Drosophila melanogaster: one gene and its partners. The protein of the gene in region 3 interacts with the protein of the main gene of each other region in a pairwise test. Each region holds a gene or a part of one and is shown on either strand. Other genes may lie near its edges. The genes, in order: CG14818, Trs33 and RpLP0.

What was found.
Region 1: the proteins of RpLP0 (region 3) and CG14818 interact in a two-hybrid assay, tested with the Drosophila melanogaster proteins (one large-scale study listed by BioGRID).
Region 2: the proteins of RpLP0 (region 3) and Trs33 interact in a two-hybrid assay, tested with the Drosophila melanogaster proteins (one large-scale study listed by BioGRID).

The regions. Positions count from the first base shown.
Region 1 is NC_004354.4:1,878,519-1,881,603, reverse strand, and holds CG14818 (uncharacterized protein), read left to right. Parts: upstream 1-1,829; 5' UTR 1,830-1,948; intron 1,949-2,023; exon of another isoform or gene 2,024-2,045; 5' UTR 2,046-2,113; coding exon 2,114-2,192; intron 2,193-2,253; coding exon 2,254-2,465; 3' UTR 2,466-2,585; downstream 2,586-3,085. Other genes in the region: Coa8 (cytochrome c oxidase assembly factor 8), read right to left, coding at 369-584, 658-921, 981-1,031; CG14805 (uncharacterized protein), read right to left, coding at 2,600-3,085.
Region 2 is NT_033777.3:15,349,714-15,352,765, reverse strand, and holds Trs33 (TRAPP subunit 33), read left to right. Parts: upstream 1-1,770; 5' UTR 1,771-1,845; coding exon 1,846-1,914; intron 1,915-1,982; coding exon 1,983-2,372; 3' UTR 2,373-2,421; downstream 2,422-3,052. Other genes in the region: Tmtc4 (transmembrane O-mannosyltransferase targeting cadherins 4), read right to left, coding at 1-1,415; CG42727 (uncharacterized protein), read right to left, coding at 2,428-3,052.
Region 3 is NT_037436.4:22,073,945-22,078,014, reverse strand, and holds RpLP0 (ribosomal protein LP0), read right to left. Parts: upstream 2,149-4,070; 5' UTR 2,089-2,148; intron 1,981-2,088; 5' UTR 1,879-1,980; intron 1,768-1,878; 5' UTR 1,728-1,767; coding exon 1,674-1,727; intron 1,600-1,673; coding exon 700-1,599; 3' UTR 528-699; downstream 1-527. Other genes in the region: CG7130 (uncharacterized protein), read left to right, coding at 2,381-2,767; CG7133 (uncharacterized protein), read left to right, coding at 3,679-4,070. UniProt on the Drosophila melanogaster protein: Ribosomal protein P0 is the functional equivalent of E.coli protein L10.

The DNA of each region.
Region 1 (3,085 bases), on a different chromosome or scaffold from region 3:
ACTTTATGCGTGTGTGCCTTCCCCTCTGTTTACCATTATTATTATTATCATAATTGTAGCGGTTATCTTTCAATATTCGGCCACTTTACATGGGGAGCGATCCTTCTTTCGCTGCGTGTATCGTGCGCAACCTTCTTTGAATATATACACTGATAAGGATATGAACACCTACTTCTATTTTATTTTATTTAAATAGTTTGCGATTACTTTTAAGTACATTAACTAACTCCGAACAACGTGTATTTTTCATCCCCTTAAATAGTAGCTAAGTAAATTTTATGCCACCATTTTACGCACGTGATCTTTTATTCCAACTTATTGCAAACGGCAAACTGGAAATTACGAAATGGGGACGACAGATATTGCACCTAAGATCTTCGCTTGGCCAGCGCCAGAAGCCTCTGGAGCTGGACTGCGGCAGCCAGGGTGAGTATGTCGAAGTTCTTCAGGTACCAGGAGATGTTGTACATGATGTGGATGCGCCAGTTCTTGTCGAGGAACGCTTTGTAGAAGTGGCTCATCTGGTCCGCGGACACTTCGCTGGTTCCGCTTTCCTTGTGCAGGCGGATGAAGTCTTCCTTTTCCTGTAAACGAACCAATTCGAAAGAGACGACATTAGCGGACTAGAAAGAGATGGCACAGTGGTCGTGGTTGTACCTCGTAGAAGCGCTTATTGTGTTTTGTCCAGAAGTCCGTGTTCCATGCCTCCACCTCGATCCGCTTAAGACGCAGGCTTCTTGCCAGCCGCGTCTCCTCATCGCCGTAGTGCCGTACGTACGGACGTAGGTTTGATTGCGCGTCTGGCGGTCCTATATAGTCGCACTTCACCGTCTTGGGATCGGGCTTGTGTGGCAAACCGACGACGGGTTTTTCTTGTGGCGGTGGACATCCCGGCTGCACTGCGGCATAGCACCGCGGTAGCTGTGTAAACAAGAAATTGAAAATCCGAATCCTATAAGGCAACACACTCATGGACTCACGCTGAACTGGAAAAGCGATATCCGGGGCTGGCACCTAAAACATTTGTTCATTTTTCGGTTATGTTATGTGAGGTGCAGTGTGGCCGACTGTCACGCTAGGCAACAGATTAAATATTGATGCCAGCAAATATTACGGGCATTCGCATGCGATTCTCGACTGAATATCTGGAGTTCAGAAACCAGTAGCCAGTAGCCAGCCAGCTGATACATGTCGACAAAATCAAGAAACAGTTTCTTTTTCCAAAATGGTCGCATATTGCATGTTTCCAGTCGCAATTGAACCAATAGGAATGCAGCCTTGTGAACAGTTAGACCAAAGCTTAAGCAAGAGTATCAGAAGAGATGTGAACCCCTCTTGTTTCCCTGTTCGTGACACGCAATCGGCACGTCATGCTCGAGCAAATACCAAAATCCCTAGTAATTTGCTTGCGTTGTGAAAATAAAACGATATACATGCACATCTCTAAAAACAACGTAGAAACAGAGGCTAGTACACTTTCTGTTTATTATGCTCGCCTCATGATTGCAACAAGAAATCTACTGTCGCAATTCGATGCTTCAAAATTATTTCGGTCAAAATGGGCAAGATTATCGACTGTAGACACCAGGCGAACAGAAAACGTTGGAGTACGACCGCTGATCGCTCTGAGAAATTAAACAGCCGTTCATTGTCAGAAGGGGTCAACTCTGGCCAATCAACATTAAGCACTATGGGAAAGAACCGTTCGATTAAGTCCAGTCAACGCCTAGAGATACGTAAACCATTTGTTTCATTGTTCGTGTCACGAATTAGGCACGACATATGCGAATAAGCCAAAATTTCCCATGCTATTCCATTGGTACGTAAAAATAAAACGAGGCACGGGCACATCCCTAAAAACTAAGTGGAAACTTAGCTTTGGACTTTTGCAGTGGATTATGTTCGCCTAGTGTTTTGAGCTAAAAAGTGTTTTCGTAATTACAAAAACGTACGTATGTACTGAATTCCCCTATTAAGTTTTTTTTTTTATATCGTATTTGAACTGAGACCTATCGTTCTCTTCTAACCACCTCTATCGTTTATAGCTATCCCGTGACAATAAATCCAACTGGAAAAAACAAACGGAAAAACTCCGGGGAAAATTCCAGGGAAAATGTCACCCAAAAACAATCATGATCCCTCGTCGTCCGGCGACTCTGGCAACACCAATGTCCAGGAGGCGGACCTCCAAGGTGAGTTTTGACAGCGCCCCGTTTCTGCTCGGGATTGGCTCTAATGGAATGACCCCTACAGAGATGGAGGACGTGAACAACAGTCTGGACGCTCTCAGCTGTGCCCTGGACGCCGTGGAGCAGCGCACAGACGACATTATGTCCCAACTACGGGAGCTGCTGAACTCCAACCGAGAGATCCGTCGCCTGATTGCCGAGGAAAATGACAACGCTCCCGAATCGGGAGATGACAACATGGACGGGCAGGCGGGCAGCGAAGCGGCACCCAAGTAGATCCCTCTACGAGAAGTTATTGTTTTGTTCATCCAAATCGTTTTTAGGCACAATCAGTGCTGTTTTTTTTCTATTATCATGTATTTTTGTCCTAAGTCCTAAGTAAACGTAATTGAAAGCAAGCTTAAGGTTCACTATGTCTTCCGCGCTTTCTTGCGCTTTGTCTTCTCTGTGATTTCAGCCTGGCCATTGGTATCGCTAGTAATATACTTGAAAGCTATCTGGAACAAGCGCATTGACTGCGCTTTGAGGCGCGCATTCTCGGCCTGCAGCTCTTGCACTCTTTCGTCGCTTGTCTGTGCTGAGTCTGGCTGATATTCTGCATACGATTTTTCGGACTCAGCTTCCTTGGAGGCGGTTTCCATTGGCTCGGATTCAGGTTCTTCTTCTTCGACCTCGGAATCCTCGACATCTGTAGCTTTGGTTTCCGCCTCAATTCCTTCGTCGTCCTCGTTCTTTCCCGAACTCATGGACGCTATAAGTTTGAGTATTATCTCCTCATCCGTACCCGGATGACTTTGGGTGTAGTCCAGCTCCGGTGTCTTGCGTCCCCCGGAGTAGTCCGGATCGAAGAGCTCGATACAGTCATTCTCATCCCACGGACTAATCATTCGCTTTAG
Region 2 (3,052 bases), on a different chromosome or scaffold from region 3:
TCAATGGCCCTGTGGTAGTGCTGAAAGGCTTTCGTATTGTTTCCCATATCAGTGGCCAGTCGGGCTATGTTATAGTGTACCTTGGCATTGTCAGGACACACCTGTAGCGCGGACTTGAACAACTGCTCCTCGTTAAGCCAGTCAGTAGCTCGCTGCCGAGTCCGTACCATCATAACCGAAAAGAGCAGCATTAAAAGAATCCGTAGAGCAGTGCGCCAGTGGGTGTTTTCCGTACTGCTGTCATACCAATATAAGAATCCATAGATGGACAGCAGGCAAAAGCCAATGGAGGGTACATAGAGCGTCCGTTCGGCAATCACGAATCCTACGCAAATGATTCCCGACGCGGGCAGGAACGGGACGATCATTAAACCCAGAGCTAACATCATTCCGGGCAGCCGTCGGAAGTTCATCAGAGCCACCAATACGATGGAGTAGAATCCGATGACGCCCTGCAGTCTCAGATCCCAGATGTTGGTCACCAACTTGACGCAACCCAATGCCCAGTCGTAGCATAGCCAGTGGGGGCACAGCATCAGCCAGATGTTCATGACCAGCAGATACTGCTGGGAGAGCCCACGGGTCAGCACGTGCTCATTGTGCGCAACGGGGTTGTCAACTTCCTTGAAGGTAGGCGTCTCAAAGTCCTGCCACCAAAGGCGAGCCGTCAGCAGACCCAAGGTACCCAGCAAGTAGAACAAGTAGCTGATCCGGGTGCGCAAAAGACTCCACTGATCCTTGAATCGCAGATGATAGTAGCCGTTTTGAAAGTAATCCAATAGTACACACGACATGGGGATGGTCACAGCGGACTCCTTGAACAGCATTCCCACAGCGGTGAGCAGCATGATTAGACCGCCAGTCTGTGGACCAAGTCTTCCGGTATTGGCCACGGTCAGCAGAAGACACAACAAGTGAATCATGCCGAACATGAGCTCGGCCCTTCCAACCACACCAGAAACCGCCTCTGTGTGAATTGGATGGGCGGCAAATAGAGCAGCGGAGAGGATGGCCCATCTTGCCGTGCTGACCTCCGGAACATAGAGAGAGCGAATCAATCGCCACATGAGCAGCGTGTTGACGCAGTGTAGCAGGAGGTTTAGGAACTTCATGTGGGCGGCACTTAGCCCCAGAAGGGCATACTCGCAATGGAACATCAGGGTGGTCAGTGGCCGAAATGATTTGTGGGAATCGGAACTGAGCAAGGAAGCACCCCAGAAGTCGTGCGTGAAGATCGCCGTCCAGTTGGTGGGCAGTGAGTTGACATCCCGGTTCTTGACGATGGCCACCGTATCATCGAAGACAAACTTCGCTCCACTGAGGCCACCGCATCCGTAGCATAGCAAACAGATTAACACTAGGATTGCCTGACAGACCATGCTATGCAGCGTGGCTTTGTGAACGAGGTCTAGCATACTGGATTATTTACTAATTGTCAATTGTTCAAGTTTAATTCACTTATTCTGCGAATTTTAATCGGAATTGTTTTGTATACATTTTTTGTTGTGTTTTTGTCCAAACACCCCCTCACTGAATAGTGATGCCAGATCAGCGATAGAAATGTGTGCAGCTTAGCTAAATATATGCATCGAAAAATATATGGTTATAAAATGATTTGAAATTACGCTAAATAGATCTATCAAATCTGCTCATTTTAGAGTATTCATATTAAAATAATTATACATACTCTTGATATTAAAGTATAAATAATAGTAATAACAATAAACCACTAAAAGCAAACAAGACATTCGCCCGTTAACGCTTGCAACAGCTGTTTAAATCTAGATCAAAACAAATCCGAGGAAAAATTTGTTGAACTCACAAAGAAAAATTAAATCCTCGAAAATGTCTGAAGAAATCCTTTTCGATTGCCTCCATGCAGAGATAGTCAATTATTGTCTGGATAGCAATAAGGTAGGAACACGAGGGACGCAAAAAAAAATCAGTCATACAACCGATTTTGATTTGGTTCCGCCTATTAGGAGCACGACCTGGCCACTTTGGAGTATATAGGCTTCACCACCGGCTACCGCCTGATTGAGCGGCTCACCCGTGAAGTTTCGCGTTTTAAGGACGAGTTGGAGACTATGAAGTTTATATGCACCGACTTCTGGATGCTTATATACAAGAAGCAAGTGGACAACCTGAGGACGAACAACCACGGAATGTACGTTGTGCAGGACAAGGCTTTCCGCTTTCTGACTCGCATCTCGCCGGGCACCAAGCAGCTGGAGCACGCGCCCAAGTTCGTGGCCTTCACGTGCGGGCTGGTGCGAGGAGCTCTCAGCAATCTAGGCATTAACAGCACCGTGACGGCCGAAGTGCAAAGCATACCCGCCTGCAAGTTTCACATAGAAGTGAACAGGAACTAATTAGGATGTAAGGCAATGGTTTATTACTACAATTATAGAGATACTACAGACTAGACTAGGCTATCTTTTCGTAGAATGCCACAATGTTGTGGTCAGTCCAGTTAAGGCGTTCTCGCAGGATCCACTGGTCGATGGGCAGTTGGGGCTGGGCGGGATTGGGATCTGTGTGGATTCCCAGGGCGGGCAATGGTCCAATCAATATAAGCCACTTTCCTTGATACACATTTAGATAGTCCAGAAAAGCTCCTCGATTGTTGAAGTAGCAGAAGAGCAAGGCACACGGATGAACGTCACTGCAGCATTTGGTCAATAAATCCGTATCCAGTTGGCTGGCATCCTCTAAATAGTTAAGCGGTATAAAACTTCGAACGGAGTACTTGCTCTGCCACCAGTTGCGATCGACCTCCAAGCCAAACATGGGGACTTTCCGACCTCCAGACACTGTCATAAGCCATTCCAAAAGCCCACTGCCGCAGCCGATGCTCAAAACTCGCTGGATGTCGTGCATGGCTAGCAGCTGATTAAAGTAGTCCAAGTCCACCGATGTCGGCCACATCCAGAGCAGCTTGCGCTTGAGCTGTTGGTCCAGGCAGTCGCCCAGGACAAGCAACTTGCGCCAGTTGCACGACGCATCATCAGTTAGGTAATAAATTTCACGCAGTGTCTCGAGTTCCGATTGC
Region 3 (4,070 bases):
CTCCTGACCACCCTTCCGCCACCCCCCCCCCCTTGAGCACTCCAGGCGCGACACATCGCCGCGAGGGCGTGGCACTTTCACGCCCCAGTCGCGTAACTCATTTTCGCTCGCCAGACGAGCAGAGCAAGAAATGTGCAGGAAACTGGGAAAAAGGGAAGGAAAGTTTCTTTTGCCGCCACTTGGCACATTCTTAATTTCTTGCGTATTTTGTCAAGACAAATTGAATTTTTATGAGCGTCTCTCCTCCGTCGACGATGTCCTTTGCGAAAAGCAAAAGAAATCGCAAAAGTCGCAGCCGACAACGGCAGCAGAAACTTTAAACTTTTCTCATCTTGTGAAATTCATTTTATCGCAAGTAATTACTTTGTAAATATCCGGATGACCGGGAGCAGCTGCAGGCGGTACCTGCCGTCGCTCGGATATTTAAAGGGAAATGAAGAAAAGTGGGAAGCCTTTGGATTTTGGAGTCCTAATCCCACCATGTCCACCTATCCCGATTCGAGTGCAAGTTTAAAAGACAGTTGAGTGCGCTTTCGAGCAGTTTACAGCATGTTTAATGCAACTCGCCATTGGGTCCGTCAAACCGCGGCAATAATTTGCACATAGAAAACATAACAAAGGGTCTTAGTGGGTAAACGCCGAAAGCGGAAGCGATGGTTCGCGGGCGCCGCAGAGGGCATTCTGCAATCGGGATCCAGCTTAGTCGAACAGACCGAAACCCATATCATCGTCCTCCTCCTCTGATTCGGACTCGGGCTTCTTGGCCTCCTCCTTCTTCTCGGTAGCTCCGCCGGCCGCGGGGGCAGCCGAAGCCGAAGCAGCTGCGGCGAACTTGCTGGGGTCCTTGATGTACTCCTTGATGGTGGTCGCCTCCTTGAACTCCACCTCGGTGGTGGCAGCAATGGCCAGCAGATTCTTGAATCCGTTGGCAATGCTGTGCGGGGCCGAGGCGATGGTGGGGTAGCCCACGGACAAACAAACGGCGGCCAAGTTGGCCACTCCCTGTTGGAACTTGGCGCGCAGATCCTCGGGCTTGATGTCCAGGATCTCCGGCGAAAAGATCGAGCCGGAGTCGTAGACCTGGTTGACAATCAGACCGTACGAGAAGGGCGAGATGTTCAACATGTTGAGCAGTGTCGCCTCGGAGGCGCCGACCTTGTCGCCAGGCTTCAGGATGGGCACATCGTTGATGATTTCAATTGTTCCCTTGGAAATTTTGGTCGGGATGGACAGGGCCTGGAAGAAACTGGTCTTCTCGGGTCCCAAGCCGGTGTTCTGCGCCGGGATGATGACGTGCAGAGGGGCAATAGCGCCGGGACGGGCGGGGGCGCGCACCTTGGACTCCAGCAGCTTGTCGCGCACCTCGGCGAGATCGCCCTTGGTGAACACGAATCCCACGTTGCCCTTGATGTGGGGTAGCAGCTTCTCCAGCTGCGGGTTGTTCTCCAGATGACCGCGGATGGCCTTGCGCATCATGGTGTTCTTGCCCATAAGCACGACGGCCAGTCCACGCAGGCTGGTACGGATGTTCTGCATCTGCTTGGAGCCCACGTTGTCGGCGCCCACGATGAAGCACTTTGGGAACTCATCGAACAGTTCCTGGAGGAGGGATCAGTTAACAGCATAAGCCAGGCGCCAGCTAGTGAGCGAATTCTATAAGGTTCTATACTTACCACAACCTTGATGAAGTACTGAGCCTTCCACGCTGCCTTGTTCTCCCTAACCATTTTAATTGTGTATTAGGGACTCGTCGGGTGAATTTAAGAACTGCGAAAGGCGTGATAACGATTAGTCTTTGCTGGACCACCGCCGTGGAACAGTTATGTACCCGAAAATGCTCGGGATGCAACATTATTCCGAACTTTTAGCAACACTTACCAAAGCACAGACTTTTCGGTTTTCGCTCACAGAACGGAAAGAGTGAAGTTGGCGGCGGCACCCAGTGTGACCGCTTCGATGGCGAATAAGATACCGCACGGTCTGAAAAAATACCAAAACCGGTAAGCGATATGAATATTTTCTATTTTCGAAATGTGTAATTCCTTTTAAAGTACTCAAAAAAGATAGATTTAACAGATCATTAATTACTAATAGGCTAATAGTGCTCCTATACAGCTGCTACGATCGTCAGAATCTCTTCTGTTAACTAACAGTGCTTCTGGTGGTAAGGTAGGGTCACTCTGGCCACTGGCGGCCGATAATTTATCGATTGACTGTTTATTTGTAATAATGTTTTAAATCAGCGAATCGAATCAGCAATATATACTCGCATTACCACATAAGCACCAACAAGTCGAGACGCTGCCTCACATTCCATACACGGCGCAACACCGCTAGACGACCATCTCAGCCAGAACAAGGAGAATACCATTTCACCACAATGGGTAAGGATTACTACAAGATTCTGGGCATCGAGAGGAATGCGTCCAGCGAAGACGTCAAGAAGGGATACCGCCGGATGGCTCTCCGCTACCATCCGGACAAGAACGACCATCCGCAGGCCGAGGAGCAGTTTAGGGAGGTGGTGGCCGCCTTCGAAGTGCTCTTTGATAAGGAAAAGCGCGAGATATACGACCAGCACGGCGAGGAGGGTCTCAAATGTGATGACGAGCCTGCTGCGACCTTCGCCCAGCCCACGCCAGACATGCTCCCCTTCATGTGCGCCGTCGGAGGAACCGTGCTCTTTGCGTTCGCCGCCTACAAGACATTCCAGTTCTTCAACCGGAAAAAAGAGGCTACCCACGGCGATGGATCCTCCTCGGACTGAGCTAAGGATCCAAGGGCTTGATGAAGCAATCTCGGGTACCTAGCGTTCTTCGCTGAATAGTCTTTAAGATTAATTTATAGGAACTTAATTATTGACTGTTTATCTAATGAATCCTGCGTTACTTATTGATTAATTTATTTATTTATTTAGTAAGATAAATAAAAATTATGGAATTCGTCCGACTGTTGCTCGAAAATAGCTAATACCTTTAGCCAAATCGAATGATAAAACGGATAAATACTGTAAGACGAACTAATAGTTTTGTTTTTTTTTAATTTAAAAAACGTTTATGCGATACAAATAGTAAAAAATATAACAATGCCATAGTAGAGAAAATTAAATGCACTTGCTTATTACAAATTGTTGCTAAGCAGAGCCAGTCTGCTACTACATATAGTATGTACAAAGACACTAGAATAATAATAATAGAATAGAATAGAATAACACTAGAATATTCTAGTGTCTTTGGTATGTACCAGATAAGACGGAAATATAATGGTTTGTTCTGAAAAAAAAGACATATTTTTCTAGATTTTGTTTCTGTTGGCCACCTAATGACTCGTATTCTCAATAAAATATGATGGCAAATGAAGAAACGAAAGACGCATTTATTTTCCTTAAACAATATGTTCTTGTCGCGAATATTATTTCGCTGACACGATGACACGACAAATGACACGATGTATTTATCGATGTTGTTTCCATACAAAGATAACACACATTTCAGATGTGCATCTCTATTTGTAATGAAAGAATCAGCTTTAGTGTTTTCTCAGGTTTTCCCAGTGCCTTACATCCCGCAACATAAACATCAATAAATACCGACTTCTGCACCAAAAACCACTGACCATCGTGCTACTATCGATAAAATCATCTAATTATTCTCCCATCAAATAGACCAATTGGCCAAAATGAGCGATGTCTACGAAGATCACTACCAGGTTCTGGGCTTACCGAGAAATGCCACCGACAGTGAGATTAAGGATGCTTTTCGGCGGCTGTCCCTGCAATATCATCCCGACAAAAACGAGGATGGAGCGAAGGAGTTCCTTAGAATCAACGAGGCCCATCGCGTCCTGATTGACCATCAGAGAAGGGCCTTGTACGATTGCTGCTTCCAGTCCATGGACGTTGAAGCCATTATTCCCGCTGAGAACGCTAATGGCCAACTGCCTGAATTGGGAAATCCATTCTTCCCAATGCCACCCGAAACGCCGCCTGCTAGTTTTCGCGAAAAGCTCAAAGTTGCTGCCTTCATCGGAGGCTTGCTGGTTGGTACATACGTGGGGTACCGGGTATTCCA